Solanum lycopersicum: one gene and its partner. The protein of the gene in region 2 interacts with the protein of the main gene of each other region in a pairwise test. Links are inferred from orthologs where the notes say so. Each region holds a gene or a part of one and is shown on either strand. Other genes may lie near its edges. The genes, in order: type III polyketide synthase B and 4-coumarate--CoA ligase-like 1.

Region 1 (16,961 bases), on a different chromosome or scaffold from region 2:
AGCATTGGGTCATGGTCTATGGCCTTCTATGGTTTTGATATCTGAAATAGTTCAAACCTTTATCCTAGCAGACTTTTGTTACTACTATGTTAAAAGGTAAAATAAGCTTCTCTCATGTCCATCTGTTTCTTATCCTCTGCCATTCCGTATTGATGATGACCTTTTACATTTTTCTTATTTATTGGCAGTGTTTTCGGTGGACAGCTGGTAATGCGCCTTCCTTCTGGGGTCGTGTAACTTACGATTGTGATAGTTATGGACAGAAATTTCACATTCGTTTGTCACTTTTCTTTTGGTTATCTTGGGTTTCTGTAGAAGGTCCCAGCTCTTGTCTAGGACCCTTGAGGCGCAATGCACCTTTTGTGAAGTTAGCACTATCTTAATTATATAAGCAGTAGATTTTCTTGCTATGATAGACTATTTTACTTTGTTTAGCAGGTAGCACTAACATATGGCTTTTGGATATGTACTCATTTTTGTACTCATGTACTAATGTACAATGAATGATAAATGATTTCTGACATAACTTTTCCTGAATGTACTCCTCCCCTCGCCCTTTCCCTTTCAGTAGGGTCATGTAACAAGGGACATACACTTACTCGTTTCTGTCATAGTGGGATGAACTCGTAACACAAGTTTTCTGAGTGAAATCTGCAACAACAGATCATCATTTCACTTCCACCACAGAACGTCCATTTCTTTTGATCTGCATTTGTTGAGAAATTTTCAACAATGTAAATTTGTATGTGGATGAAGGGGAGTGTAGGGTTTATGTACATCTTACTCCTACCCCTTTTTTTTAAGCGTAGAGACTGTCCTTTTGCATAAAAGTACAACTAATGAAACCTAAATGCGAACATATGAAAGACGTTAAGAGGATGAACCCTTTGCGCCCCTAGCTTCACGACTGTTTAGATTTTGGTATTCCTACCTCTGCCACATTGCCTGTTTCCTGACCGAACTTCTTTTTAACCAAATGTGTCTTTGGACATTGGCTCTACCCTTGAGTATGTAACCTATTTTCAGATATATTTCCACTAATTCAGAGTCATTTGATTAGGTAAGCAGCTTTTGCTTTATCTTTGTCATTTCCTTCTAAAGCTAAAAAATAAGGGAGGATAATCAAGTTACATAGCTGCCAACTGAACAGATTATTGTTTTATGATATTTTAAAAAATGATACCGCAGTGCTTTTAAAACAGAAGAAAATCATTTTAAATATATTGTATCGATGAGAAAGTTGATTTGCCAAGTTTTTTTTCTTGAACAACGACATACCCTTTACCATTATTCGTGGGAATGAATTGAATATGTTATTATTATTAATTTTTTTTACATAAATTGATATATTTGAAAAATAATTATTGATTTTAGCAATACTTTTTATATATTACCATTTATAGCAATATTATATTAAATTTGCAATATGTATTAAAAGTGAATTATACATACAATATATTTGAATTATAATTATTTTATAAAATATATTATAATTGTTTGGTAAAAATTTGACACATTGTATCAAAAGTATATTAAAATGTCTGATAAATGAATTATCTATCATTAAAATTTGTATTATATATGAATAAAAAATTATTCTTTGTAATATAAATTAAACTTGTATTATAAATGATTTAAAATTGATCAAGTGAAAAAAAAATATTATTGCTATAAATAGTAAATACTTATATATTATAATATATTTACGTAAGTTATTATTATTATTATAATAACTAACAACATACACAAGTCTGGATCCATATCTTGTACTAGCAGTACTATTTAATTACCATTGTGCGGTAACATCATTAAAAAGTTGCCTGATCGTATATGGTTTAAAATGTGGGATGTGAAGATGAAAGTGACAGCAGAGTATTATTGAAGTAAAAAATAAAAATTTCATTTTCATTGTTGTCCTTTTTCCTTTTTATTTCATTTTGTTGGGTTGCTATGATTTTTTGTTATAAGTGCGTCCAGAAGTTTCAAATTAAAATGGAATATAAATATTTGTACAGAAAGGAAAAGGAGAGCTCCAGAATACAAACAGCTGTAATGCACACAAGATGCTAGCTGTTGGGCTTAACTCATTCACAGTAATCACATTACACCACAAAAAAAGGAAGTAGCATTCATTATTGTTGTTGTTATGCTACAAATATAGTACTCTAATAAAGTATATATCATTTATATACTACATATTATTATTATTAATAATAAACTAGTATTAATACGAAATCAATTACTTAAACGTTAAAATTTTGATTATTTTATCTGATTGAAATATTTGTATAATTTATTAATGAAAATGATTGTTTGTACTTTTTTGTTAAAAAAATTTCTACCTACTTAACTGATAATCTCTCTGTCCCTATTTAATTGTCCACATTAGAAGTGACACGGCACCAATTATTATCATATGTTAGTTACAATTTTATGTTATTTTAAAAGATTATGCAGCTCTCCAAGTATAATAAATGTATTTTTCTAGTTCCAAAAAACATGCATTACAACTTAGTAGTACTAAAAATTTTCTAGAATTAAATAAAGACATATTAGAAAAAAAAATTATTGTCCTTCCTTGATTTGTTAAAATAGACAAATAAATAGAAATAAATATAAAAGAAAATATAAACAAGTAAATAGGGACAGAAAAAGTATTATGATATGATTAAAATGTTTACTTATTTATCTTGTCAGTCATTAAATGTATTGAATTTATTTGATATGATAATGATATATGTATTTTTTTGAATAACAAAATATTTGATACAATCGCACTAGTAAAATTTGAATTGGATAAAATTAAAGTTCAAATTTTTTAATATCGTACCATGGTTGTTGAATGCTGTTTGCTTTTGACTTGAAAAATCATGATCTTATCTTTTTTTCTCATATGCAACTTTGCAAGTTTTTGTGATGGCACAATTTCCAAAATCCTAAATAATTGTCACATATACAACATTAATGCTTTTTAACTTGATAAACTTCAACTACTGGTCCATACGCGTTTTCTTATTAAAATGGAACTCTTTTGTGGTCATATTATAGCTTTATTAGCTGTGTGCTAAAGATTAAGATAGATACCCTTTTTTTTCCTAGTATAAATAGTGGAGTCAGTTAAGATATAAATTAAAATATATATTTAAAAAAAAAAAGTAAATACACAAAATAGTCAACGAGATTCAATGCATAATATACTAGTAATATTTTATTGTTTTTAACTTATTCATAGTGGATAATTTCTGACTCAGAAGTATTAATTGACTCCTCGTGAATGATTGGGATTTATTGTTTATTTTTTTTAAAAAAAATAAACACTGTACCTTAACTTATATTGGAACTGATTTGTGAATTTTGAATCATAAATTTTACATATTGTGGTTTAACAATGAAGTTTAAAGCTTGAAGAGTCTTATCGATTAAAGATGATTAGGACAAAAGATAATGTGCATGATTCGTCAAAAAACCTTTAATTTTAAAAAAATTGTGTCGATCATGCATGTATATCACCTAAACTTATTTGTATATATTACAAATTTTAGAAGTGAAATATATTTAATGAATGAAATAGCACATTAAACAATAACTATTGAAATAGAAAAATATTAGTTAAAAGAGATTGATTTTCTTTTTAAAGTTGGACGTTTTTGAAATTTTCTCAAGTTTAAATAGTTTCTTGGTTGGTATAAAGTCAAATAATTTTATTTTTTTTAGGATACGTATTTATGTGTTATTTCTAGTACTTTTTAAAAAGGTATGTTTCACTGGAAAATTCAATTTCCAAGCATAAAAAATCTTCGAAAAATCAACATTTATGAAAGGTAATTATGAAAACAAATGGGGTCGAGTAAGAAATGAGCTTCTTATTATCTTTAACTTGAATATATATATATATATTGTGGCGGAATTAGAAATTTCTGAAAGGGTGTCCAATAATAACAACTTGTTATGTTAAAAGTTTCTAAAATAGGTTATTTAATCATTTTGTATGTCATTTTACTTGTATATATGCTAATTTTTTCCGACAAAAAGTGTCCAATTTGACAGTATTTGACTATGCCAATATATATATAAGTAGTTGAACTTTTTATCGAGGGATAACAGTATTTATCATAAACTGAATTTTTATCTCGATTTATGTGATTCAAAAGTTTTTTCTAATGTGTTAGAGTATTATGATTTATAATATTTTGTAAAATAATTTTTAAATATATAAATTTTATTTCTAAAATAATTCATGATTAAAAAAAATTAACAATCTGGCTCTTAAATTTTTTAAATAATATCAGGTAAATTGACAGAGAGAGGTAGAGTAATTAAGATAAAAAAAGTGTAATTTTAAATAATATCAGGTAAATTGACAGAGAGAGGTAGAGTAATTAAGATGAAAAAGAGTGTTTTAAAGAGATATACATGAATGGTACTTTGAATTATTTGTTAGATAGAATCTTAAGTTCTCTTTTGGCCAAGGATAATATAATTAGGAACCAACTTGTTTTAATTAATGTAGCTTTGTAGACTTTGTGTTAGCTATGTACACCTACCACAGCACTTATATACACTTTGAAAAATGTACTAATCATTCCAGACTCCATGATTAAGCTGTTAGATATTTTATCAAGTAATTAATTAAATTCCTTTTCTCGATTTAATAGTATACTGTTAGGATCGAATTCACACACACTTGATAAATGAAGAATACATGAGTTTTCGAGAGAGATGAAAAATCTAGAGAGAGAAACCAATAGTTTGTGGTAACACTTCGTGAATAAACTTTTACAGTGGTGAGATATATATATTAATAATTCAGAGTATGAACAGTTACAGAGAATAAATACAGAATAAACAGTACAATCTAAAATTTAAACCGCGTAAACATTAATATATGTCAGTATATCAAATATTAATCAGGCTTTATAACCTAACATATACCCCATTAACCTACTACAGTATTAAGCATCACGTACGAAAAAAAAATCGCATGCATGAAACCTACTTGTATAGTATATATATATATATATTTTTTTTTTTTTAAAAAAATATTCTTTTTGCCAAGTGTGTTTTTCTATTCTATTTGTCTTCATATACATGATTCTATACATTACCACTATTTCCCCCCACTATAAATACCCCATTTACTAATCAATTTTCATAAATCAATTTTTTGGAGAAAAAATCTCAAAAATATTTCAAATTCCAATGGCCATTTCTAAAGCTCTCTTTGCTTCATTACTTCTCTCCTTGCTCCTTCTCGAGCAAGTCCAATCTATTCAGACTGATCAAGTGGTGAGTTATTTTATTTATTCCTTAGCTTACACAAAAATTATATTTATCCTAGATATATTTTGAACTCGTAATAAACAGTCAAAAAGATTATAATTTGGATTAGTGTTTCATCATAAAATTATGTTTCAAACGTTTTCTTTACTACATGAAAAAAAATTAGTCGACTATCTAAGTATATATAGAAAAATTTAATCATATTCCTTAATTTTTCAAGATTAATTTATTCACTGGTGATATATGTTTGACTTTTGCAGAGCAGCAATGCTATTTCTGAAGGCGCTGATTCCTACAAGAAAATTGGTATTTTCTAATTTCTTATTACTCTCCCGCTAGAATGCCATACAACATTTTGTCACCTTTTTCAATTTATAAATATCTATTCCCCTATGTCATGTATCAATTATAAATAATACGCTTCTTATATATTAAACCTCGAACATCCTTAAGCGAAATTCGAGCATATATAACTAATTATTAATTTCTCATATATATGTTGTTTACGTACAGACTGTGGGGGAGCTTGTGCAGCAAGGTGCCGATTATCATCAAGGCCAAGATTGTGTCATAGGGCATGTGGAACTTGTTGTGCTAGATGCAACTGTGTTCCTCCTGGTACTTCTGGCAACACTGAGACTTGCCCTTGCTATGCCAGTTTGACTACTCATGGCAACAAACGTAAATGCCCTTAAATTTCTTCTAAAAATATCGTATATCGTGTGATTACCACGGATATGTTATTATTGTAGTGTATTATTTTGTCATATATTGTGTCAATAATCAAAATCCAGTAAAATATCTTTAGCGTGGGTAATTTATTTTTTGGGGTGTTGTCTTTGTAATTTTGAGGAAATTTTATTTGTGTGTTGATTAGTACATCTGGTGTAATATTTATTCTGGTTTGCATTGTATTGTATAATAAGATGAGGAATAAATGAAGTTTGAGTATATTATTTTATATGTGTTTTATTCTTGGATGTTAAGTTTTATAGTACGGAATTAAATAAAGATTATTTGTCTCATTCGCAGCTCATTATTTTTCATACTATCGCATTGCTTCTAATATACTTCTAGACACGAATGGTTTAAAAGAACTTTTATAACATCATGTTACCTGTGGTATTGAATACATCAGTAAATGAAAATTATAAAACAAATTGAACCAGAAGGAATATAGTAAACACCAAAAAAAAAAAGTTCAACAATTGGACTTGCATCGAGTACTCTTTTAACATATTCGAATGATGAGACTCTTTTTCGTTTATTTTGTCGAAAAATTTTCAAAGATCAGTGACGCACGATTCAAATAGTGAGATTCTTTGTAAGAATACCCTCAAAGGTAATCCCAGGGCCAAATGCGAGAATCAATCCCCAATCAGTGATGTCTTTTTTCTCCTCCAACATGTATTCCAGCACATACACAATTGTATTGCTACTTGCATTACCATAATCTGCCAAAGCTCTTCTACTAGCACTCAATTTATCAGGAGACAAATCTAGCTTTTTCTCTAGCCTGTTTAAAATAGCAGGACCACCTGGATGAACTGCCCAAAACAATTTGTTGTATTCTCTATCTTTGATTCCAGAAATATTTATTAACTTGTCACAGAAATCCTCAATATTATCTTCAATTATCTGAGGTAGTTCCCTTTCTAGCTTGAAGCTAATTCCCTCTTCAGTAAGCCTGCAAATTTAGAGGTGGCTAAATTAATCTATTAAAGTAATTTGTCTAAGTTTAAACAGGCTTGACTGAGGCTTGGACAATCCTCCTCCCTATAAGCTAGTTAGTTTTTGGGGCCATAAGTTAGGCCTATGACTTAATTTAACAAATTTATCAGAGCAGAGCTCGTCTCACTTGATGTTGAGATCTCCAAAATCAAAATTGTCCACGCACCAGATACTGAGCACTGGGAGTGAGATGGGGTGTTAAAGAATGACAAAAATCTCACATGATTAATGAGATGGGTGTAAAGCTTGGATAATTCTCTTCTCTATGAGCTAACTTTTGGGGCATGAGTTAAGTGTAAGACTTAATTTAACAGGTTATAACATTGGTTTCTCAGAACTAAAAATATACTCGCTATACCTGCCATCAATGATCTTTTCTGTATCAGGCAAGAAATGCTGAATAGCAGTATGCAATTCAAAAAGAGGTCTTTCGATATCTCGAATCGGGTTAGATCCGATTATCATAGCTCCAGCACCATCACCAAAAAGAGCAACACCAACTAAATCATATGGCCTATCAACACTAGGTGGTTTGAACCCAATTATAGTAGTCTCTGAAGTAGCTAACAGGACTCTGCTTCCTGGATTATTCTCAGCAATGTCCTTAGCAACACGAAGGCCCGCCACACCACCAGAACAACCAGCAAAATACAGCATAACACGTTTAGTTTCCGGGTTTAAACCAAGTCCTTTGGCTAAGTAAAGATCTCCTCCTGGTAATCTAGCTTCACTTGAAGAAACATAGACTACATGTGTAATGTCTGAAATTGGCCTTCCCCATTTCTTAATACAAGATTGTGAGGCTTCAATTGCCATTTCTGTAACTGCTGCATTGCATATGTCTAATCTTTGTTTTACTGTTGGAAGTCCTTCAACTGCTAGTTCAGGATATTTCTTTAGGATCTCCTCTGACATTACCACGTACCGCGTTTTCACTGTAGTCGTCTTGCCTGCAAAGTTAAAGGAAACGAAGAACAAGATAATTAAATCCGCTCAAGAGGCAAATTCAGGATCCAAAAAAATATTGCACTAACTAGTTATTCATGAACATAAAGTATCTATAAAATATATGAACTATGTTTAGGCAGGTAGCTGGAAGACGCAAAAAATGGGCATTAGACTTGTAAGTTAATATCAAAATTTTAATCATGAGATAAAAATTGTTTGATACGAGACATCAACACATTCTCTCAATCAAAGGGCATTGGACTTGTAACTTAATCTCAACAAGAAGCATGAATTACTCATGAGTCTGACTCTGATGTCATTGTTAAGAAAATGAACCTCAAAAGCTAGCTCACGAGAAGAGGATTACCCAAGATAATATAACGAGAAAACAATCATGCTATCAGCACCTTACAGCTGCTAAATAGATGTTTACGGTTAAAAGAGTGAAAGAAAGGAAAAGATTACAGAGTCGAGTGAGCCTCTGCTTGAGTTCTGGATCATCACAGTTGGTGTTTTTGAAATAGCCATCAACCAAAAACTCTTGCATAACAAGCTGATGAGGGAAAGCTTTGCCCAGAGCAAGAATGGTGGCGTTTCCAAAGTTGATTTCATTCCTTCCTTCCATTTTCTCTAATATCCCCATTTACTCACTACTTGATCCTTTGAAGGTGGATATAACTTTGTGTTTATAACACGTACTAAATAGTTTTATGTTACTCAATACTTGCCACTTTGAAGTTGCACAACTTTCTATTTATAACAGGTATTGAATAGTTTATGTTAGATAATTTAAGCGGTTTTAGATGTATCATCAAACTGTAGAGGGGCTCAAATATTGTTGACTATTGAGTTTTTGGGGATTAGTTGAGGAACAAGATGTTCATGATTTTGACAGTCCACAAGTTCTATCTCAATTTAGTAATGTTGAATCTTGATACGTGGTTGGTGGCATTCTGGTTAGAAGAAGTTCAAGATACAACCTTGAGCAGAATGAATCTGTTACTGCAAGAACAAATAGACACAAATAATTCCCTCACGTAATGTGCAGTCTAGGCTCTTTTATGAGTTGGAACTTTTGCCCTACTCATAGCTCACCCGCTCTTGAAACAATTACTAAGCCACTAATAATGATACAACATCATTAATTGCGATACGAAAGTCGACAATTAAAATCAATGTATTTAACTAAAAAAATTAAACAATCTCATGATCAATAGGAAAGAGCAAATGGAGGTTGTAAACTTTGAACCTCAAAGGAACTTAAACGTTGTTCAAGTGCTTTGCAGATAATTTCCCAACTAGTATATAGGAACACCGCTTTCTTCCCTGACTAAAATTTCCATAAATCTTATAACTCATTCATTAGTTTTACAACGATTACAGAATATCAGCTATGTTTAGAGAAACTAGCTGGAACAATGTGGGCCGATGAATTGTACACCTGGACGAAAGTGGACATATCGAACCAACATTAAATTTCAGAGTGACATCTTGATACACTAATTTACCATAATATAATAAAAATTAGAGTCACTGGTGACTTAGTATAATGCAGTTCGAAGGAAGTAACATTCTCACTGCCCAGAAGTCTAATAATTGCCTAGACACAAATGTCATAGGTTCTTTCCACTGAAGCATGCACGAGATGAAATAAGATTAGATCACAGCTCCACTAAGCACTTCCCACTGATGTAATCAACAACTTGGGTGGCAGTTTGATCAAGTGCAGCGGTTACTGCCACCAGATTTTCCAAAAATTCTTCCGGTGTTGGTTTATCACCATCCACAATGTCTGTCACAGCTTTCACAAAAATGGCAGGAACTTTTAACAGATCTGCCACATAAGCTACGGCTGCTCCCTAAAACCCAAAAAACAAATTGGAACAGAAAAAGGAGTGAAAATGTATATCCTAACAAGAAAGAGCAAGGCTAAATGAGCACAGTGATTAGGAAACAAAACAGAAGTACATTGAACACTTGGCACAATTGCAGTCTTGAATTAGAGGGGAAAGACGGAAGCTACATTGAAAACTTGGCACAATTTCAGTCTTGAATTAGGTTTCCAAATATCATGCCTAGCACTAGCATCAAACATGCCTGGGAGGGAACAAGTTATTTTTTATTATTGAAAAGGTCAACTTTGAGATATTAAATATCTTAGACGACAATCTTTCTCAAAAAAAAAAAAAATATATCTTAGACAACAAGAGTTTATCTAATCGACGAAGTATGTGGAGCTCAAGGACAACCAGGAAAGACATGTTGATGGCCAGAATAACACTATTTGACCAATCTCTACAGGGGACTACAGAATGACCAGCGGACTAATTTCTCCAAGTCTTCACAAAAGCAATCATACTAAACTTAGACATTTAGATGTTACCTCCATGTCTTTGATTGTTGCGTCATTTGCAATGATAGATGCTTCATCCATTGGAGACATATCTAGAGAGTCACCAGTAGACAGCTTGCCTACCTGTAATGAGGAGATAAATTACATGACAAATTAATTCAATGTCTTTTTTAATCAGGAAAGCTTTTTGCTATTAAATATACCTAATGACTTTCCAAGTACATGGGCACTATAAGCTAGGCAGGAAACAATCAGATGTTATTGTGGAAGAAAGTATATACATGAACATTAACAAGTTTGACAAAAAAGGCATGTAAGTCTTACATGGTTCTCAAGCACATCGTAACATCTAGATCATTACTACACTCTTTCGAGAGAATCCCATTTTCACATGCCAACTCACGAGCATCCAAAATCACCTAATTACAGATATTGCTAAAATATATCCTTTAGGTACATGTTAAACTTGTAGAGATCACTATGTTAAAAGTTACCACATCTATGTTACTTCTCATTCTCAAAAAGACCACATCTTAAGTTGGTAGGACCTATTAAGATTGTCTATACTTGAGTATCATTTTTCAGAAAGAAAATAGCAGATAGTGTACAGGTACTGGCACAAAGTGGACTATAGAAACACGTACTTATATAGTAGAAGATCGTATCTGATATAACATCAGCACCATCATTCACATTAAGATAATCACCCACCAATCCGAGAAAAGAAGATTTCATATAAATCAAATTGGAGAGGAATGGATGTTAGGATTTCATATAACCAACCAAAATTAGTTTGGAAAATGACACAGATGCCCAAATCCAACTTGACAAAATGATAATGAAAGGACAATCTGAATCCACAAAATGTCAATGACGAAGAAGCTAAAACCACAATCTAGAGAAGTACATTCAGCAGCCATAGACAAGAATAGATATCAAAGCAGGTGAGCCATGAGCTAATTAAAGTTGGTTCTTTTTTATGCACAGTTGAACAATATTTACCTTCAAGTTAAGCTCCTTCAGAAGATTGGGTGTAGCAAAAGCCTTCCGCGAACCAACTCCATATATATCAAATACCTACACATATATGAGTGCACCCAAAGACCTTCAGCTTAGCTGCCCATAAAATTAGCAAAAAATAATCCAAATCATGCACCCAAAGACCTACAGCTTAGCTGCCCATAAAATTAGCAAAAAAACTTTCCAAATCATAACGTAGGTGAATCAAAAAATTTGAGGTTTGCAGTAAATAACCAGGGACTTCTTTTTTTTTTTGAGAATGATAACTTTATAACCAAGGACTTCTTTCACTAGATTATTGATCACAATGTCCTTAAAACAGTTGAAGCACCAAGTCCAGTAAATAAACTGGAAATGATGTAAAATGTAGAAGTTTAGCCACAACAATAATAGGAATTGTGATCTCTGGTTATGAGGTATAGAGGCAAATGGTTTGTCAACCTAGTGTCAGCTTTGATCCAGTTTCCCACATTCTATGTGGTTCTTAACAACAATAGAATTCAAAAGACATAATGCGTGGATGGAAAATGGATATTACCGGGATTGGTATTCTTCTGTCATGGAAAGCAACTTCTGATGAAATAAAAACATCTCCTATTGAAGCACCTTTGGCCTGAAATAAGTTAACGCGTCAAAAATAACATAACCAAAGAAAAATTTATGTTTGCTCAACATGGAGGAATAACAGGAACAAAATTTTCAATTAATCTGTCCCAATATCTTCCTGTTCCAACAAGGTTGTCGCTTTTCCTCTAACAATTTATCTTACTAGCGCTCAATAAGAGAGATGAGAGAAATAACAGGGAAAGAGGAAAAGGAAGATTATATCAGAATCTAAAAACACAAATCATACCCCAAATCCACCTGCTGTGCCAGCATTTATGATGAGGTCTGGCTTTAATGCTTGGACAGAAGCATATGTCACAAGAGATGCAGAAACCGTGCCCACACCATCAACCCCTGTGTTAGACCATTCATAAGTTAGTTTGACAAACTTTAGACCACTAGATTTGATGCATATAAGATATTTGAGGTATACGAGGACACACACTGCAAGAGAAAACATCAAACTATTTAGAGCATCAGATACTTTAGTGCTTTGGCAAAGTTATTTTCCTTCAAGCAAGAGGAAGGTTTCAAGAGTAGAAGACCAGGCTCTAAGACTACTGGCTACGTTCCTCTGCAAATGGGCACACCCATATATATGTACTCATTAACTCTAAATTACAGCCTTGATCTTGAAAATGCAATTCATCCTTTGACCCAGGATAACTAGCTAAGCCACATGCCTCTCAAGGATGAATTTCCAGATCTTCACCGCACATGTAGAAGCCACCATAACCCAACACAAAGGCAATGGAGTTCGAATATCACCTTTAGAGAAATTGTTAGAAGTTTAAAAGACAGATTTCATTACTGAAAACACTGGAGGAAGGGTGCTGTGAAGCAGGTTGGGTAAAAAAGGTATTTTACAGTTACAGCATGTACCAAATATGATACACTCTAGCAGAGCTGATAAGGTATGACCGTGGAAGAATAGGGCCCTTACAAAAGTAACCTGTTTTGGATGGACTACTATGCATGAATCAAGTCTTTTTTTCATAACTGCGGTGTTTGGATAGTGAAGAAGCTAAGTTGCTAACCACACCTTTCTGGGGCTTCATCAGTGTAGATACCATTCAAGTCTGATGGATAGTGAAGATTTTTAACAACTCAATTTTTGCATCATGGAATAGCAAGGAAGATAATTAATGATTTTGGATACTTTTGAGTTGTGGCATCATCCAAGGCGTGGCCAAGCAGTCAGTGAAGCGGACAAAAATAATGGAAAACTAGGCTCAAATCCCACTTGAGATCAAAAATACGTTTGTGTAATTTTTTCCAATGGCAGAGTGATCTAGTCCATGTGCTTGTGAGAGCTACCAGGTCCTAAGTTGAACTGATATGGGCACAAACCGTAAGCTAGCTTAGACACCAAACCGTGTATGATAGGCCTACTAAGTGATGCAGGAAAAAAAGGTCTACAGGTTCAGTATCACTGTTTACTGTTTGGACTATTTGAAGGAGAGAATAACTAGTTTCATTGAAGCAAAATATAATCCTCTTCATAGATTGAGGGCTTTTTATAATTTGCTTAAATGCTTCAGTTCTTGGGTATATTTTCAGTTTGTGAAGTTATGTGAGTTTTTGGATTTCAGGCACCCTACATTAGTACCACCCTAACAGGGAATAGGGATAACCTAGCCTGTTTTGTAGTTCACAACAATCCCACAGTGCTGAGTTTGTGAATAATACAACTTTCCTTACATCAACCCCCCCCCCCCCATTTTTTTTTTATAGAAAAAAGATGTATCTATAGAGATGGACATTTTCTATATACTTCAATGTACTTAATGATTGGACTAATAGGAGACATACCCCACGAAGAAAATGAGAGAGTCCACATAAAACTTCCCATTTGAAGAACTGGTTGGTGAAACTTTATCCTACCACTAAATGAGGCAATACACAATATGCTAATACCTCGAAGGGAAAGAAGGATTGTTACTATAATATAATTTTCTATCTCAAATGTGGAAACAATATGCTCGTGCATTGGTTATATAAGCGCCACGTTCATAAGATGTAATCAGCAAAGTAAAAATTGCCAAGATCAAAATACCCTACCCAATGCTGGGTCTTTCCCAGGACAAACAATATTAACGGTGAGACCCTTGTAATTACCATAGAACCGCACCCAAGGGACTCCCTTTGGGAACCTGCATTGGGCACATCATCAGATATTAGATCCAAGAAGAGACAGCAGAACAAACCACCAAGCATCGTAAAAATCTACTGCATAAATAATTACAAACTATATTGAGCATGTGGAAAATTTAGAGGTTCCTGGTCATCATTATAATAAAATTCCCAGGTCTTTTGAAAGAATCCAACAAGGCAACAACTCTTACACAATTCATTTTCGAATAGGATATCATTCTTTTTTCTAAATCATGTGAATCATCCTCAAAATATTTTCAGTTTGAATAAGTATTACCCCCTCCATCCCATTTTATGGTGCCGTTTGACTAGACACGGTGTTTAAGAAGAAAAGGAAGACTTTTGAAACTTGTAATCTCAAACAATCCTTAGATATTTGTGTGTGTGTAAATCATTTCATTAGTATTATAAGGGAAATTCAAAAGTTACATTGTTTATAAGTATAATAAGGTGACATTCTTTTTTGAACGGACTAAAAAGGAAAGGGTGTCTCATAAAATGGGCCGGGTGAATCAATACATATGCAACACATCATAATCTTGCTAGTTTGTTTAACAAGCAACCTCATACCACGTCCATATGATTCAACAGGTAAACACTGCAACATTTGTTGTCATAAAAAATATACATAGAGCTCTAGCATCTATAATATTTACCGCCTCAAAACTTGTCTAATAACTACTCTTTCATTTCTTCTACCACTAGTTTCTGGTTATCTTCACATGTGTATTTTGGTCATCTCGAAGACTCATCATTCTATTTCGAAAGAAAAAGTCAAATTCTTTTTACCTTGGCTTACATATTTCAACATTTTTAATGAATATTTTAGCTATGAAATTGTGATTTATTTATATATGTAGCTTATATTTCAAAAAGGAAAAAGGTATTTCCAGACTCACAACTAAACTTAGTCTCTTATTCTTGATCTTTCGGTACAAGAGAATTAATATCCGAAAAGTAAGCGGGAAAGCAAAAAGGAGAGAATTTGTAACTTTTTCAGTTGTGATTTTTCATATAATCTCTTCAATTCTGAGTAGCAAAAGCCTCAAAATAAGAACAGATGGAGCTTACACGGAATTGAGGTCCTCGGTAAGCTGGAACTTCTTAACAAGAGGTAACGCCTCTGTTTGCATAGCTGAAGATTCACAAATAATTTTTTTTTACCGTCAACACGATTTCTTAATAAACGGAGCAATCACAAGTAAGAAACAAACAAACAAAGTTCTTTTTGAAAAGAAAAAAGAAGTACCAACGATGAAGAGGATGGTGGAAATAGGGCGGTTATCGACTGAGGAAACGGCGGCGGCGGCCTCCTCCTTGACTTCTGCTGACTTATCGCCGTGAGGAGGAGCCATTTTTACAGGTAATTCCTTTGAAAACTTTTTTCGATTGAGAAATTGAGAATCGAAGTGGTAACTTGTACGGTCTATTATTGGAGAGCTCTTGATTGATAATGTTGTTAAACCGCCCATATGTCGCACCGACCCGACCCGACCCAAAATCCAATAAATTAGGCATTTGACTATTCCTAATATACCCCCAACTTTGTGGTTCACACTCACGCACTCATGTGGTCGTAACTTTTAAAAGTTTAGATCCGTAGAAATTACTTTTATAACAAAGGATATATTAGACTTTCTCTTCAATACTCATTTATAACTTTCGATAAATGTGAAAGAATCTTTTGAAAGAAATGAAAATAATTAAAAGGTTTATACTTATAATTTAAGGAAAATATACAAGTATCCCTTAGATTATGATTAATATTTTAGAGATATATCTTAATTAATCTAAGGTCCTATTATTCCGAACTTATTCTTTTTTGTAATTTTGTGCACTTTTTTAACTTACATGACATTCAAATATCTCTCACGCGCCTTAATTGTGTAGAGTCACGGATGTGCCACAAAAGGTGTATAAAATTACAAAAAAAAACAAGTTCAGGTGGTAATAGGACCTTAGTTTAATTAAGGTGTGTCTCTGAAATTTTGGTAATAATTTAGGAAGTACTTGTGCATATTTCTTATAATTTATATTATCTATACAAAATATTTCGGATAAAATAAGAAAAATACATCATTCGTCTTGATTCATGCCACATTTTTGTTTAACTCTTGAATATTATAAAACGCTTGAAATCACTCTACCTTATGCTATATTTTTCACAACTTCCGGAAGTTATTAATTACAAAGCAATGTTATTCTCATTTGTATGCTTGCATACAATTGTGAGGAAGCATGTACAAGTTAATCATATGCCAAAGGTCTCAAACCAATAATGTTAACATGGTCCATATTTTTGGAATGTACTGATGCGCCAAAAAATGAAATGACTCTTCATCACTAGAGTTTCGTCTTTTAAGCCCAGGAAGCTGCATTATTGATGATTTCTCACCTTCAGCATATCGAATAGGATCAATAAAGTTGATTCTCATGAGGTGGAAGATGAATAATCTTGATTTAGGATCAGAAATTAAGTGTCTTGTAAGTCAAATATATCGACAGTAGTAGCATAGAAAGATAGCTATTACAAGGTTTTTCCCTTGAGCAACCATTTGGAAGCATAGGGAAACTCTGTGGAAGAGGCATTTCACAGTTCTCACCATTGAAATATATTCTCCTTGGAAATGCCCATCCATTTCTAAGTGTAAATGAGTTCATGTCCTTAAGTAAAAGTATTTCTGTAGTCACAGATCCCATTTGCTTCTCTTCAGCTTGCAACAAAGCATCGTTGTACAAGTCTAGACCCCAAAACAGTGCAACTTCATCTGCATCAACATCGATAATTATTTTTTATTATACTATCATCTACATCTGTAGCGCGACTTTAATGTAGAGCAAATACCTGGGACACCAACGGTAGAGAGCA
Region 2 (16,791 bases):
AGCACCAGGAGGTACATTTCTGACAAAGGCTACTTTGATCTGACAATCCAAACAAAGGCAAGGTGAAAATGACAGAAATCTAAGAAATTTTCATTCTCTAAATATCTTAATAATGGACGATTGGAAGAAACCTGAGCAAGTTCATTAGGATCAACTTCAGATTCCTCCTCAGCCCACTGTACAGATGGATGCAAGTTGCCACCGATGAGAAAATCAGATTGGGAGCCTACCCGTAAAGCACGAGCTGCAGCCTGTGATTGAGAATTTTGAAGGAAATTTATATTTTGGGATCTTACAGGATTGTTTTCATTAGAGTAACATATTCATAATGGGATGGAAGTATTGGATTTTATTGAATTATTTATTTGGCAGTGATCAATGGCTACTGCACAATATTCGAGATTTTTGGGAAACATGTTAACATGACAGTGAAGCAGACAAGGATAAATTTGGGAGTTTTAAGTATGAATTACAGCATAAACTTCTTCATTGATTCTTGAACTTGCACAGCAAAATACAGTGATTTCAGCTCAGAAAGGCAACAGATTAAAGGCCAAATGAGGGTTCCAATTTTGACCCAACTTGCTGTAAATTGAGCAGATTACATTCCTATGAAGTTTGTTAAGTTCATATTCGAGGATTAACAAAGTTTAGTTGCTCACTTAAAAGCTATCTAGATCCTATCAAGGCAGACACAAAGCTCGACATTACAACTTCCAAAATGAGGAGTTGTTTTTTAAAATGTGGCATTGAGACTGAGATTTATGGATATAAGCATTTCTTTTTTATTTCAACAAACACTATGCCTTAATCCTAAACTAGCTGGGATTGGTATATGAAATTCTTTGTATCTTTTGATAAATCAAAAAATAAGAGCTAATATCTATAAGATAATAGTTTCATTTAAGATTATCAATTGCTCTAGAGCTACTTTGATCCAGAATACAACTTCAACAGAGTGCCCATTCACACATTTTGTGACTGTTATCTATAATATAAATGGACGTAGAAGGATTTTTTTGTATGGCTTTTAATGTTTGGGCTCTATAATATGGAAGTGTCATTTGTAAGACAGAAATCAACATAAAAGATGTGCACCGATGAAGACGTGGCTTGATTCTCCCAGCATCTCAAATGAATATCTAGTAATGACTCGGCACTGGTAGGCCTGAGCAAAGATACCTAAGTTTGGAGCTGGAAAATGTAAGGAACGTTCTCCCTTTTTGTGGGATTGGAGTAAAATAACCTTTTAGAAGGAAAAAAACGACTGTTACTTTGAACAGATCAAAACTTAGCTTAGGACCTAGTAGCAGTATATTCGACTTATCATATTATATGGAGATTAAGTAAATTGTTCACAGAAGGCTTAAAAATTGGTTTTATAGGAAAAGTCTAGTAAATAATTCATGATTGGGTAGAATTGGACAAATTTTATAAGCTATAATTCTTAACACCGGCAAATAAGTTTTTGACCTGTACATTGGTCCAATAATATTCTTTTTTGTATAGTATGTCAGACATTGGAAATATCTGCAAGAAGTATGGGATTGAAGAAAATTGAAGCAACTGATCAAGCTGATCTCAGCAAACTAAAGCACCACAGAAGGAAAGCATATTGTTAGAGATAACCAAGTGACAGTATATAAGCACCACAGAAGGAAACCATATTGTTAGAGATAACCAAGTGACAGTATATTGAGGCGATAGCACTTAAGATGCGTGGGGTCCAAGGAAGGGTCTGACCACAAGGGTCTAGTGTATGCAGTACGCAGTCTTACCGTGCATTTCTGCAAGAGGTTGTAAAAGAATTTTAGATCTATTAAAATGTTATCTTGTATAATTATTTTCTATTTGAATTATGTAACGTAAGTATAATACTTTTCATGTGAATGCTTCTTAGTATTTAGGATTTTAAAATCAATTAAAATACGTATCAAATTCGTCCTTATTCGAATTTAGTTGGAAATCTAAATATTCGAGACATTGAAATTAATTAAATTTTAATTATCTTATCTACATCATTTCATTGCTTTAACATTTAACATTTCAGTATAGGAAACACGCGCAAAGTGCGTACTTTAAGACTAGTAGATGAAAACATGGACACTAGAACATTGGAGGCATCAATGATCAGATGTCATTAGGAGTTTTTGAAGTCCATATGGAGATAGCAGCCCTGGAGACGCTAAAAGTTAAAACAACACAAGTACAAGAAGATGATAGCACTTCACCAGTTCAGTGGATATACAAATGGTATAGAGGTAGCAAGTATCCCATGGAATTAGTCGAAGCGCGCGAAAGCTGGCTCGGACACCACGGTTATCAAAAAAAATAGTAGCATTACGCTTCGAATTCACATAAAAATATGGAGCGTCTTTTATTTTGTCCTTTTTAGTTTCTAATAAGCATGTTACTTACCAATTTCACTAGCACACATAACATTTTCATGTGGTGTTCAAAATTTTGTAGAGAACAAATTCTGCAGCTTTTGTTTCACGTTTTTAGAATATCTGGTATGCATTTCAGTCTTATGTTAAAGATTGAAAAGAATGCTATTATCATAATTCAAGGATTCACTTTCTTAATCTGTAATAACATGTCTGAGAGTGTTCTTTTTTTATAAGGTGAGGTGAATAACATGTCTGAGAGTGTTCTTGTTTATAGAATGAGGTTAATAACATGTCTGAGAGTTTATTTCATATTGGGAGATTCCTCAAGAACCTAGGCATCATAATTTGGTTCTGGAACTGAGAATCAAAAGCACGAACCTGAGCTTCTATCCTGTAGTATTTAAGATGCAACGATATGAGTAAAAGTGATGTTACAAAAAAGTTGAAATTGTCCAACAACCATAATACTAATTAACAATGTTAAACATAGACAGAGGCACTTACAGCATGAGATGAAAATTTCACAAAGGCAAATCCCCGATTCCGTTGCTTCTGACCAAGTTGGACATCTCCAAGAATTGCAAGATCAACAGATGTAACATCTGGAAAAACCTAGAGAGAGGGAGAGATGAATATTCATCAATATTTCAAGAGATTTTTAAAAAAGTGCACTGTAAGCAGTTAAAAGGTGTACCTGGCGCACAATACTCTCAAATTCCTCAGCACCCCAACCTTTAAATAATCCAGACAAGCAATAAGGAATGCGTACAGTTATAAAAAAACTTGTCTCTTCCACAAGTGCCAAAGAAAACATAAGTAGAAGGAAGATCCTTTAAAGTTCAAATTCACTACTCTGGAGAGGAAAATGTATCCTTATAAACTACCACGTGCACAAAGCCCAAAATGAATGAGAGAAAGAAAAAGAGAATTTAATCAAGACAACGGATATGTATGAAATATCAGCCCATAAAATTGTAAGATAATGCAAGTCCTTGTAAGATCAAAATATCTTCTATGTAATGGCATCTTCACATTTTGAATGAAGGCATTTGAATGTAACTTGATATTGTCATTATAAAGCTTCTCCAATGTCACAGAAAGACACTAATTAAGTCGGCAATAAATCTTGGACAATAGATTTGCAAGAAAAATGAAACAAACCTTTGTTAAGATTTCCAAGAAATAGTGTGTCCTGCTCAACTGAGGGGCGAATCCCAATTTTCTTCCCATCTAGCTGAAATAATAGCCACAAAAATATATCAAATGTAATAGGGAGAAAATCTCACTGTTCAACAGATTACAAACAATCAGACTCATAACAAGATGAATATTTTCCAAACATTTCATACTAAGAGAGAAGTAGTCTTATCCAGTCACCAACTTTCAAACCGTGAGCAACTGGCCCTCAGGGATTTCTCGGTCATCAAAAGAAAAATTTGAAATGGCCAATATGAGTCAGATAAATAATACTCTCGCCGTTCCTTTTTATACGTCACCTTTCTAGATTTCACTTGCATTAACTAAGTAAGTTTACAATTCTATCTTATTGGAATCATGTGATAAAACAAATGTTATGATTCCTACTGTTCCATAATACAGAGTCACCACCACAAAAGACATAGTATCCAAACATAAATAGTTGATCAATAGGAGAATCAACCCAATTTGAGTCAAAGTATCCTATATCTTGAGAATTTCCTTCCATCTTTGTATAGTAACATTTAGCTTGGTACTTTACTAAGTATTTTATAGTTCATACAACAGCATCCCGATGATCAGTGCTAGCAGAGCATGAATTGACAAACTACGATCGTTACCAAAAGAAGAGCTTGATGTGTTAACAGAAAGGTAGTTTAATGCACCAACCAACCTTTTGTTGCCTGTTAAGATCTACATAGCGCCCCACCTGATTTTAGGGGCTTACTATCTGGATCCAAGGAACTATTAGTAGATCTATGGTCCATGACTATGTTATAAAATACAACATATAATCTAGTGAATGCTCATAATTAAGTAAGGAGATAACCCAACAATACAAAGACGTGCATAGTTGAACAAATACCAAATTAGGTATCTGTAGCTATTCAAAGAATGGAAAAAAGAAAGTAAAACGGGAAAAGGGCAAAAAACAAGGAACTGATCAATTGCTCCCATTGGTGGAACAAATCCCAGCATTTATACAAATTCAGAGCTTTCAAGAAAGCAAGATGTGCAGTTCAAGCTCTTCATGAAGAAAAATATTCAAGTGTTGAGTTAAAAGTGTTAAAGTGTCAAAATGTTATACAGACAATCTTTTATTCTGGGGAAAAATCAATATTCTGAGTAAGTCGGATTGTTTTCTTAACATTATTTTATAGGAACACATTCTTGAATTAAAAGAAGGCAAACCTTTGCAAATAGATGTAAGCCATCAAGTAAAAGTCTCGGCTAGGAATTATACACTAATGCTTATCCAAGTAAGTGGTCGTTCTTATGTACATTCATGAATAATAACAGCATCACAAAAGCAAAATCCATCGCAATAACCAATAATAATGTAATGGTTTATCAAGACAGTGAAATAATGCATCTTTGTTAGCCTTTTACCACATATCCAGATTTTTCCTTCAGAGCTTTGTCAGCAGCATATTTTGTTGCAAATCGTACAAAGCAGAACCCCTGTAGTCATAACAAATGAGCACTGCAATATTAGCATCTAAACCGTGTTTTTTTCTAATGTCTCTTTTTTAGCTTTTTTTTTAAGGGATGGCAAAGCATGAAAACAAGAGGTAATACAAATAAACAGATCATACTGACTACCTTGGCATTGCCTATCTGGTCTTTTATCAACCTTATTTCCACAATCTCACCGCATGAAGAAAATACCTGTAAAATGCAGATGTTTTATATATACACATAATCTGACACAAATACAATGTGATGATATAAAATAGTTACAAATCATTGACGATAAGAAGTCCAGCTCTAATCATAGGTTTTGGCCGAGGGGTGTTCTGTTAGTTTTTTAAAGATTAAAATAGAGTCAAGAAAAATAAATTCACAAGTGCAGAATGTGAATAGGTAAACTGATCTACCACAAAAAAGGGCATAACTACGTTTAACAATTCAACCCCAAGAGAGAGGAATAAAGCTGACAAACAACTATATCATATAGTTTATTTAAGAACAAAATTGATTATTATTACATAGAAGTTAAAATAATATCCATTTTGTAATATAGTTCATGAGAATAACAATTTATGATATAAGGATCAAAAAGGAGCAATTGGTTGCGTCAATTACCATAATAAGGGATAAACACTACTTGCCTCAAAAGAAGTATGGTCTGTTCAAAAAATGACCCAACTAAGCCCTCAAAGACAGCAGAAAACTACTCATCCTTAGAATTCAGTGAATTTATACCTTTGATTGAACAATCAATCTAGCCTAACTTCAATCCTTCAAGTCAATAGGAGACTTAACCTAAAATATTACAACATTCGCACAGCTTTACATTATTGTTTTTAAGAAAAAATTGTACTCAATGTCATAATATACACACAACAACTTATTCTTTTTATATACATTTGTTATTAATTAACGCAACATACGTGCAAAGCAATGCTATACTTAACTAGTAGTCTAGTACTATCATAATCTGCTGAAGGCATCCAGTGAATGGCCTGGGTAACTGTTGCGCAAGGTAAAGCTCCACCCAAAGTCACATGCTTTAGTTGGACTTTGTATATGATGTTTATCTCACTCAAAGACAACAAGAGAATGAGACTGTTTTATCCCATTAGATCAGTGTTATATGTATGAAAAGGATATCGATGATGCTAATCATCTCTTTCACATTTTAAGGAAGCGAGGGAGTTATGAGATCATTCTGTAAAAAAAAAATTCTAATTAGGGTCCATCGAGTAATGTGAAGGACTCTGGATATAACCATCTCCATGCAGCTGGTAGGAACACACAAGAAACTCCACACAAGATTTTGTTTACAACCCCAACATGAATCATGTGGACTCTGCCGAGTGAAGCACTGGTAAGTGTTTTGATTGTGAAACTTACCCTAGTCATATACTGATGCATAAGTGTTTAACTGACCTTGTTTTTGGTATCATAAAACTTTAAAATGATATTGTTGATAAGTTGAAATTGTTAACAATGTAGATATCATATTTGTTCTTCGGAACATCCTTTAAGCACTTTTTGTAACTCTCAGCAACTGCTCACACAGTTAATAATACTTACTTGTTTTATCCACAAAAAAAAGAAAATCAAAACAAGCTCAACGTAGAAAAAACAAACTTGAACCAAAAATATAAAAATGAAAAAAATAAACTTGAGGAACCAAATAGATCACGTAACATAAATCCGAAACAAACCTCGTGAATTTTGCTTTCAGTAGTAGTACGGGCCAAACCACCAACAAAAATCTCTGTCCCTTTCATTTCCTGTTCTGCTAAGCCAGAAAAACAAGAACAGCCCATTAAAGGTGAAAACCCACATTGCGTATGTGAATACACATCATTCAACACCCTTTATTATTCAAGATATCGAAAAAGAAATCACAACTTCAGTGAACTAATATATAAACTCGCCCCGCCCAGTGAACGAAAAGAGACTGCGTGTTCAGCTCTTTTAGGGTTCTACCAGTGATGAGCTATACTAAGGCTGCTTTTTTGTCAGCAATTCAATGATTTGCATCAAAATTCTCAGTTTTACTTTGGCCAAACAAATGTATGGCATTCCAACTTTTCTGGAAAAACAATCTAACTTTTATCCACTCTAATTATATGAATTGTTTTTATAACAAATTAATTACCTGAAAAAATGAAGTCTCCAATGAATTCTCAATCCGAGAGTGATTCGGTCGGAACCCTAAGCCCTCAAATCAGTTGTCGTTTCGGAGTTCAGTTTTCCCTGCATATCATCGTACTATTTTTCTATGCAGAAGTTGGGGAAAATAGTGCTTTTAGCCCTCAAATTATTGCCTTTTACTCTTTATATTATTCTGCAGAGCATATATGACCTTTATCTATATCTAATATGCTATTTTAGTCCCTCAACAAAGCTAAATGGCAGTAAGGAATTATGTTGCAATTACAAAAATAAAACAAAAAATGCAAGCTCGATTAATTTTACGAGATACCTTTTGCCAGCAATAAGTACTCGTAAACTATTTATAAATACTTGTAAACTATTTCCACTAAGACTAAAACAATTAAAAGAATCACCTAGTGTTTTGACATTAGGAGCACCGTTCCTAATGTCTTACCTCTGAGAGATTGAATTACATGTGTGATGTTTCATATTTGCGAAGCAAAGACACATTCAAGATTTTGAGATGATGATGGATTATTATGAAAAGGTGAATTCAAGATATAAATTTGATCAACTTAACATTTAGGTTCTTATCACTAAAAACCATTAAAATTTAAAATTATAGTCCAAAATTATCTTTTATTGATCCACCGTTTAGAGAGGTGTTACACAATTTTAGAAATAAATAAAAACAAGATAAATAAAAGATTCAAATTTCTAGGTGCATCCACTCATCACCGCACGAGATTATATGATACTTGGGTTCTTTAAATATTTATTAAAAATATAACACTTCATCACTTTTTTTTTGTTGTTTTTATGCATGTATATTTACAGTTAGTTTGTTGAATAAATTAATTCGGGATTGAGTATAGTTGTTGATATTGATATTATATATGTCAAACACAACCTGCATGCAAACATAAAAAGGAAGCATCTTTAATTTGGTTTAATCCAATAATGTCTTTTACAATCTATGATTAGATCTCATATTTGAATATGAAAATAACACCATTGTGTTTTTATTGTTCTTTTGGAGTAAGTTGTACACTGCTTTTTGTATTTGTAACATCACTATGTTCCCTCTTTAAGTCTTTCTAGCATCTTTTCCTTGATAAGTCTTCTCATTATTTTACCAGAAGGAGATTTCGGAATACTATCCACAAACTGCACCAGTCTCACTCGTTTATACTGTGCAACGGTTGATGCAACGTAGCTGATGATGTCCTCATGGCTTTCTTTTGCTTTTGAGTTCAATACTACCCATGCTGCTGGTATCTCTCCTGCTTCTTCATCTGGTAGCCTAGAGTTGTAGAGAATATACATCTGTTATTCGTTACAGTTTTTCCATTTTAAAACTGAAATCAGCTAACTGATTTTACTCACCCAACTACTGCAGTATCTTCCACTGAAGGATGTGTGAGAAGGATCCCCTCTAATTCAGCTGGTGCAACCTGTTAAACCAGCAAAGAGGTCCACAGACAAAGGTAAAAACAGAATTCTTGATTCAACTTAGTGAATTAAGTCAAGTTGTAAGTTATAAAAATAAAAACAGGTTCAACTTAGCAAGTTTAGTGATCTTTTTACTTGGAATCCCTTGTACTTGATAAGCTCTTTGATACGATCAACGAGAAAGATATCCCCGTCATCATCAATGTAGCCAATGTCACCGGTGTGGAGCCACCCATCCGTATCAATTGTAAGGCTAGTCTCGGATTCATTTTTGTAGTAACCTGAAAATTTTCGCATCAAAGAGCTAAGTTCCATATATCTACCAATCCCTGCAAGAACAAAAGGTTGTATAAAAGGAAGAGTTATAGTGAGTTACCCTTCATAACACATTGGCTTTTGACACATATCTCCCCTGGTGTGTTCTTGGGGAGAGATCTACCAGTATCAGGATCAACGAACTTTACCTCCAAATTAGGCAGAATAAAACCAACGGAATTTCTTTTAGCGATGTGCTGATTGCTGTGGGAAAGAGTAATGCAGCTGTGCTCAGTCATCCCATATGCCTAGCAGTTGAATAAGCCAGAACAGAACTTGTCAAAAACAACATTTTGGACTGAATAATTCGTTGACATGAGAAGGACCATTATAAGTTTCTAGTGGATGTTCACCTCTTGGACCTGAACATCCGGAAATTTCTTCTCAAATTCATTAAGAATCTCAGGGGCAAGTGGAGCAGCTGCTGTCATGATGGATCTAAGCTTAAGCTTTTTGAGATCAAATTCATCAACGATCGGATTCTTAACAAGTGCTAAGATGATAGGTGGCACGATAGGTGCAAATGAGACTTCATGTATGATGAGTGCATTTAGAAATGCCCTCAGTTCGTACCTACGCATGACAACCACTTTCCCTTTGTTCCTAATGGTTGCACAACAGATTCCAGTTATACCATAAATGTGAAAGAATGGTATCAGACCTAGTATTGTAACTTGACCTATCATTTCTGGACTAATACTAAAGAGTGTAGAGCAGAGGTTTGCTACTAGGTTTCTGTGAGTTAACATCACTCCCTTGGATAGTCCTGTCGTGCCTGATGAAAAGGGCAGTGCACATAGATCACTTTGTTGCACAATTTCATCTTCTTGGTTTGTTATGTGATCAGTTCTGGAACTGGCACGATCTGCAGCTTCGAGCAATTCATCCCAATGAATCGTCCCTTCTGCACGTTCTTCGCCTAGTATTATTACTGGCAATCCACAATCTTTCACCTGCAATTCCCATTACTTTAGGTGGAAAATGAAAGCATCTTGTTTTCCATCATAGTAGAATGCAAGTTTTAGTTGGACCAATACGAGTAACAAGTACAAGAAGTTTGGTCCTAATGAGCCATCTGAAGACACTCTTCTACAAGAGGTGTCATCTCAAATTTCTTAAACAAGTACGTGCCCGTGTGTATATAATAAACATCGATTGAACAAGAAGTAAAGCCTTAAAACCTCTGTAACCCCATACACAAATCATAGATAATGTGCAGACACTGTAAGGCAAAATTCTACATAATCCACTGATAAGTTGGAAGCTTACGTACCTTGTGATAGGTGGGTAGATCAGAGACAATAAGCTTGCCATCAGCAGATTCAACTTGTTTCATAATTTCGGATGAATGAGCTGCTGGATTTGCACCTGAAAAGACACCACCAGCAGCCATGATTCCAAGAGCAACAATAGCATATTCCGGTACATTTGGAAGCACTACCAACACAACCCTTCCTTTTCTTAAGCCAAGGGACCTCAAGGCCTTGGCAAACCTCCTTATGTCTCTTTCAACTTCGCCATATGTGTAGCCTTTGCCCGTGGTAGCATCCACAAAAGCCAGTCTGTCAGCGTATAACTCTACATTATGAAGTACAAATTCTGGGAGAGTCACATTGTCTGGTACATGGACTGGAGGATATCTACTTCGGAAAATGTGTTCATCTTCCTCTTGCTTTTGTGAGCATTCTACAACATGAGTTTCCATTGCCAGGAATATGCCTTGTCTCAACTCCTCAAGCTAATTTATAGGTGAATCATGTTACCTTGGTAAGTACTAAGTAGTAGTAGCATCACGAATATGAAATGAGCATACGTGCAGGTTAGAAGAAGCCTTTTCTTATTTTGGTGATAAGTAAGAATTTGTTGAATCATTCCATTCTGCCTGACGTGTATCATGCACAAGTTATTTTTCCTATAACTCATCTTGCCTTAACTCATCTGCACTAATTCAATCCCATTGCCAGAATAACAATTTCTAAAAACTTATTCTCCGATTAGCTGTGTGCGTCTCACTTGCACGCATTCGGTTCGTATTTACACTGGTCCAGAATTTGCTTTGTGAACTTCAATTACTTAACGTACCAACAACCAGAACGTCGAACTGAAAACAGCTTTGGCAAGGCTACCATAGATAATTCAACCTCATTAAGTTTGAAATTTACTGCATTGAATACCAAGAAGAGATTCAAGACAATTTTTGAATGAGGTCCATAGCATTCTTGATTTCATATAAAAAGTACAGGGTAAACCATGTTAATTTGCATGTACGAGTACAATTTTTTTCAAAGAATATGAAAACAAACGTCAACAACCAAATTATTAAATATAGGCCGCTTATTTTATAGGGAAAAGCTACAAAACCGTTACAAAACCAGAAAGTAGGCAAGAGGAAGAATTGGAAAAGTAAGACCTATATGTCCAAGTTTGGAATGGTCGAGCGAGGTGTGTAATTGTGATGCATTACAACTCCAAAAAAAGAAAAAAAAGAATCGTCTAATAACGGAGCATGTAGGTTCTGCGTCTGAACCAGTTATAATCAGGTAGTGTCTGGATAGGCCCCAGCGCGGATATAGCAACATCCTGCCAGAAGGAAGAAAATTTTGGTTTAAACTCAGAAAATAAGATAAAGGAAAGTTGAGTGAACAAGATTGTTTCATAGCAATGAACTCCCATGTCTCAAATATTTTTGAATCCTACCTGGTCAAAGATAAATCTGTTTGCAACTCGTTTGATGGTGCTAGCATCCACAGCATCAACCCTTGCAAACAGCTCTGTAGCTGGAATCCTTCTGCCATATGTGAGTAGCTGCAAGCAGGATGATCTTAGTTTACAAATAATCACTGGATCCCATCCTAACGAAGTCAAGCTTACATAAAATACAATTTTTCCACATATTGGAAAGGAGGGAGAGGGGGGGAGGGGGGGAGGGGGGGGCTATCAACCTATGTTCTCCACTTACAAGCAGATGTTGCAGTACGCTTGACATGCAAAAACACAAATACTTGATGACACACTCAAAACTTGTCAGCAAAACTTTGATCATTTGGCTCTTCACATTAGAGTTTTTTCTTAACTCAACATGAGCAAAGGTACTGCGGTTTAAGAGCTGTTCTTTTTTGTTTTCCAATTTTTCTTCTTATAAGGTCTGTTAAGGGCTATTTTTACCAACCAGCTGGCAGCAACACCTTTCAGCATTCATTTTGTTCTAATCTATTCAGACATTAAGCATGCATAATTAGGCTGCTACTTGATGTTGTACTGCACCACCAAGTTACACTACCTCTAACAAAAATGAACTTAATGAACCAAATACGGAATGTGTCAGTGAATTGCTGCTGATATGGCTAACACGTGTTTATATTTAGTTGCAGTAATATTGGTAGTAGAAGCTGTTATAGTGGTGAAGAGGATTATTCAGGCATCGTGAAATCTTGAAATTCAGAATCTATATGCAATAATGGACCAAACTATCGTCATCATCTAGGGTAGGGAAGTGCCATTAGTAGGCTTAGGCACGGTTTAACTAAAACTGCTCCAAGAGTAACAAAGTTCCTAAAATATCCTCTTCGATACTATTATAGCTTCTACTTCAGAATGTTTATGGTCATGGAATGATTCAAGTACATGAAGCAGTTCAGTGTCCCTTTTATGCACATATATGTAGGTGTCCAGAACATTCTTCTGGAAACTAATACCGTGAGAGAAGGAATTAAGTTACATTTGCAGCGTCTTATCTATGATACCACCCAATCCCACCACTTCTCCCCGAAATTACAAGGAATAAACTTAATGAGAAAATACTAATTACAATCATGACAAAACACATGTGTACAACCACAGAATCGGATATCAGAATAGTACCTGACGCCCAATGTCTTCAGCAACAGGACTAGTTCCATCAATGTGTAGCATGAGAGAAGACTTCAACTGCAAACCGATATTGGTTAGAGAGAAACAAAGAAAAACAGCAAGGAGTAATAACAACTAGCCAGACTGTTTAACATTAAGTAACACAAACCTGGTTGCAAGCACGAGTCACATCAGCATCCGAAACCCGGTAGCACAATTTGCTTATCTCGCGCATAATGCAGTAGGACAAATCACTCAAACAATCAGGCTGCACATTAAGAATTCATTTAAGATAAAACAAGGATTATTCACAACCATAAAAAGGATGGTAATACAACACCTAATCATATTAATTTTGTCTTTAGAGAAAAAAAATGTTTCTTTTAAGAACAAATAAAAAAATTGCTCACTTTACTAACCAAATTATCTCAAAAAATCCAAGAAGATAAGAACTACCTTGCCTAATATATAGTAGAATTATTTACAACCACATGCCAGTCAAAAGGGTCACAATACCAACACCTAACCGTCTTTTTTTGGTCATTAGAGAAAAGATCTGCTTCTTTTAAGAACAAATAAATAAAATTACTCAGTTTACACTAACCACAATATCTCAAAAAATCCAAGCAGATGAGTAACACCTTGTCTAATAATATATGAACTACATCTATCCAAAACATGAGCAGTAGATGACATTGAAAAAGAACTACTTCACTCCGCATTCAATATACAACCAATAAACACTTAGAATACTTTTTAAGCATATTCAAGAATCTAGACTACATTTTAATCATAATGAAAACAAAAACAAGCTGAAGGATAAAACGTACATTTTACATAAACCCCACGATAGAAGATGTGGTGCATTAAAACCTTTACATCAAACTCTAATACTCCAATCAGCCGAGCAAGAGCTTGCATTTATAGCAGCTGTTCAGCTAACCAACAGATCCACCCCTCTCAGACTCTCTCTCTCTCTCTATCTATCTATCTCTGTCTCTCTCTCTCTCTCTCTCACACACACACACACATTAAAAAAGAAAAACAAAACAAATTTTATTTGATGGAAGAAAATGCAAGAAAATAAGGTAATGCATCATCATACTACATTCTCTCCAGTAGAAGGAACTCTAGGTGTTAAAGATTTGTACCTTTGCAACAGCATACACGCCGAACAAACCAGTATCCTTATAGTTGGTGTTAAAAGACATCATGCTCTCAGCAAGTTCATTAATGCCAACACTTTGTGCCAGATCGGAGCTGCAAATGATTAGGAAGTCCCATAAAAACATGAGACAGATCCATTGACATGCTTGCGATGACATAAATTGTAAAAGAACTAGTGATACACTCACCCCATGTGTTTCCCTCCTCCGGCATTTTTATTCCAAGTGCCCAGCATGGATTGCATTACCATCAGTGGAATGGCATCTGGATCAGTCCACGGTGCCCCTTGAAAAGCAACAGCAAATTGTGCCAATGGAATGTCATCATCAATTACCCTAACCTGATTTTGGTAAAATGATCAGCATAAGAACTTATTCTACTGAAAAAAGCACCGTGAAGGCGTAACGAACCCTGATAAGATAGGCATACCTCTGAACCTGTAAAAATTGCTGGTTCTCTGGCAACCAATTCTGAGGCCGTACTCGGATTGGTTGAAAGTTTAGTAAACTGTTTCTTAACTTGCTCAACAAATTCTTCATGTTTAACAGGCCCAGAAGCAACAATTACCTATTTTAATGTCCACGGGAAAGGCTAGAGTTAATACAGCAGATTATGATAATACTTGAAGAATCAAGTTTGAGCTAACAAGCAAGACAGACTAAGAAAAAGAAGATGAAATCATTTCTAAATACCATTCTGGGAGCGGTATAATGTGTTGATATGTAGTCCTTCAGATGACTTCTGGTGATTGTCTTTATATTCTGGGCAGGTCCAAGAATAGTCCTACCCAAAGGTGAGTACTGGAATGCAGTTGAATGCAAGTGGTCAAAGATGACTTCCTCTGTTTGACCTTCGACCTGCAAACAGATAGTTATAATGGATTGCTAATTTTCAGATTGTATATGATACAGGCAGCATGATAGGTTTCATAAGCTCACTACAGGAGTAACTTTTTGGATTGTGTGGAGTTCCCTCTCTTCTGTTTCTCTAGAGAGGAACGTCTTCTCTTTGTAAGGTCAATCACAAACTTAATGCACGGCCATTTCATTTCCTTCATTATGGCTCTTAATCTCTCAAATAATGAGGATACATAGCGGTTAGTACTTAATACTACATTGTATCAACAAGGGCAACTCCCTGAAGCACAATAATCCTCAATAAAATCTTAGGATATTAATCAGTAAACCATTTCAACATCTACCTATGTTTCATTGGATTCAGATATTTCTTTGAATCTAAATAATACAATTAGATTTACTTTTGAAAGTTCTCTGCAACAGTACTCAAATACTATGGACTGTATACTTTCATAAAACTGAAGAAGCTAGAGGTAATTTTAAATGGAAGTAAAAGAAAAACGAAGAAACAGTAAAGTTAAAACCTGTTAGCATCCAGGGAACTCAACAAGAACGCAAGTGATCTTGAATTTCAGAACTGGGGTTAGAGCAAGTTCTTACCCTACGTGAGGGTAATGAGGGTTGCAAGGTTGGCGGTCAGTGTAAAACTAGTCAATTGACATGAATATGCCAATTAGTTTTTAGTGACCAGCTTACTAGTTAAGCTTCAAGTGCATGCAGAGACTAGTAGAATATAACGTAGGGTTATTGCAGCTCATTGACAAAGATCGAAAAAACAGCAAACTTGATATTCAGAGATCAAAGAATAGAGAAAAAAAGTGCACCTCCTCCATCTCCCTGAGGATGACATCACGTTCACGTTCAATCTTTTTCTCTTCGAACTTAGAATTCTGAAGTATATCAGCCAAAATATCCAAAGCTACAGGGACGTCATTATCCAACACTTTAGCATAGTATGCTGTTTGCTCCCTGGAAGTATATGCATTCAAATGTCCACCCATATTCTCAATCTCCTCCTCCATTTCCCAAGAAGTCCTCTTTTCAGTACCCTTAAAGATCATATGCTCAAGAAAATGAGCTGTTCCATTAGTCTCATCGGTCTCAAACCTTGACCCTGCATCAATGAATACCCCAACGGTGGCAGTCTTGACAGCGAGATTAGTCTCCGTGGCCACACGCAGGCCCGATGGTAGTGTAGTCACGCGCGTAGAGGGGAAGCTGAGGATTGATGTGTGGTCGGCTAAAGTTGGGTGTGGCGAGTTGTACTGAAGGAATCGGGAATCAGGATTCTCGAGTCTCTTGATCTTTCGTTTAACGTCTTCAGCCAATCGATCGTAGATCATTGCATCTGGGGGTGGCGGACCGATGGCCGGGGCGGAGGAGGATGTGGCGGCGACGGCGGCAGACGCCGAAGAAAGACGCCGCAGTGAATGGGATGAGGATAGGTTTCGGGACCGGCGGGCTAGGGTTAAGAGCTGCCGGATCGTCATGGCTATGGCTTGTAAATTAGGCTAGGGTTTGTTGTGGTTCCTATACAGAGAAAGAGGGAAATGGGAACGAAGCTCAAGAAAATCAAGAAGCACGCTCTGGTCGACTAAGAAAGCTTACAAACGACGTCGTACTTGTTTCGGGGATGAAATAGTTGCTTTTTTTTTTTTTTTTATGGACTTCCCAAAAATATTGATCCGTTATTAGGCCCATTAGAATCTCTTGAATTAGCCCAACATATCCAACGAAATTAGACTATGAAATTAAATCCACACGCCTACAAATAAGAACGGAAAAATTACATAAATTAATACATTATAAAAAATAATTACCGATTTAGTGATATCTTTTGTTTATTAACATTTATAGCAATGCTGTATTGAATCTATAATATGTATTAAAAGTGAATTATGTATACAATATATATGAATTTTAATTATTTTTTTAAAATATATCATGTTTAT

The links.
Region 1: the proteins of 4-coumarate--CoA ligase-like 1 (region 2) and type III polyketide synthase B interact in binary tests that used the Arabidopsis thaliana proteins (3 or more experiments, as listed by UniProt). The link is inferred for Solanum lycopersicum from reciprocal best matches to the Arabidopsis thaliana genes ACOS5 and LAP5.

What each region holds. Positions count from the first base shown.
Region 1 is NC_090800.1:93,555,735-93,572,695, reverse strand, and holds type III polyketide synthase B, read right to left. Parts: upstream 8,703-16,961; 5' UTR 8,603-8,702; coding exon 8,425-8,602; intron 7,962-8,424; coding exon 7,370-7,961; intron 6,968-7,369; coding exon 6,586-6,967; 3' UTR 6,365-6,585; downstream 1-6,364. Other genes in the region: uncharacterized protein, read left to right, coding at 1-96, 189-237; SN2 (snakin-2 precursor), read left to right, coding at 5,200-5,286, 5,541-5,586, 5,794-5,975; 5'-methylthioadenosine/S-adenosylhomocysteine nucleosidase, read right to left, coding at 9,621-9,818, 10,343-10,435, 11,315-11,389, 11,871-11,945, 12,186-12,292, 14,000-14,091, 15,164-15,227, 15,342-15,564; COBRA-like protein 1, read right to left, coding at 16,559-16,860, 16,938-16,961. UniProt on the Arabidopsis thaliana protein: Plant type III polyketide synthases (PKSs) that catalyzes the condensation of malonyl-CoA units with various CoA ester starter molecules to generate a diverse array of natural products including long-chain alkyl alpha-pyrones.
Region 2 is NC_090801.1:67,015,935-67,032,725, reverse strand, and holds 4-coumarate--CoA ligase-like 1, read right to left. Parts: upstream 11,128-16,791; 5' UTR 10,672-11,127; coding exon 10,240-10,671; intron 9,920-10,239; coding exon 9,320-9,919; intron 9,215-9,319; coding exon 9,028-9,214; intron 8,933-9,027; coding exon 8,787-8,932; intron 8,654-8,786; coding exon 8,586-8,653; intron 8,503-8,585; coding exon 8,274-8,502; 3' UTR 8,115-8,273; downstream 1-8,114. Other genes in the region: uncharacterized protein, read right to left, coding at 1-39, 132-251, 2,895-3,002, 3,085-3,122, 3,552-3,624, 4,977-5,048, 5,190-5,255, 6,761-6,826; probable mitochondrial-processing peptidase subunit beta, mitochondrial, read right to left, coding at 11,460-11,546, 11,664-11,771, 12,828-12,893, 12,985-13,083, 13,967-14,075, 14,171-14,322, 14,412-14,549, 14,675-14,839 and 1 more. UniProt on the Arabidopsis thaliana protein: Carboxylate--CoA ligase that may use 4-coumarate as substrate.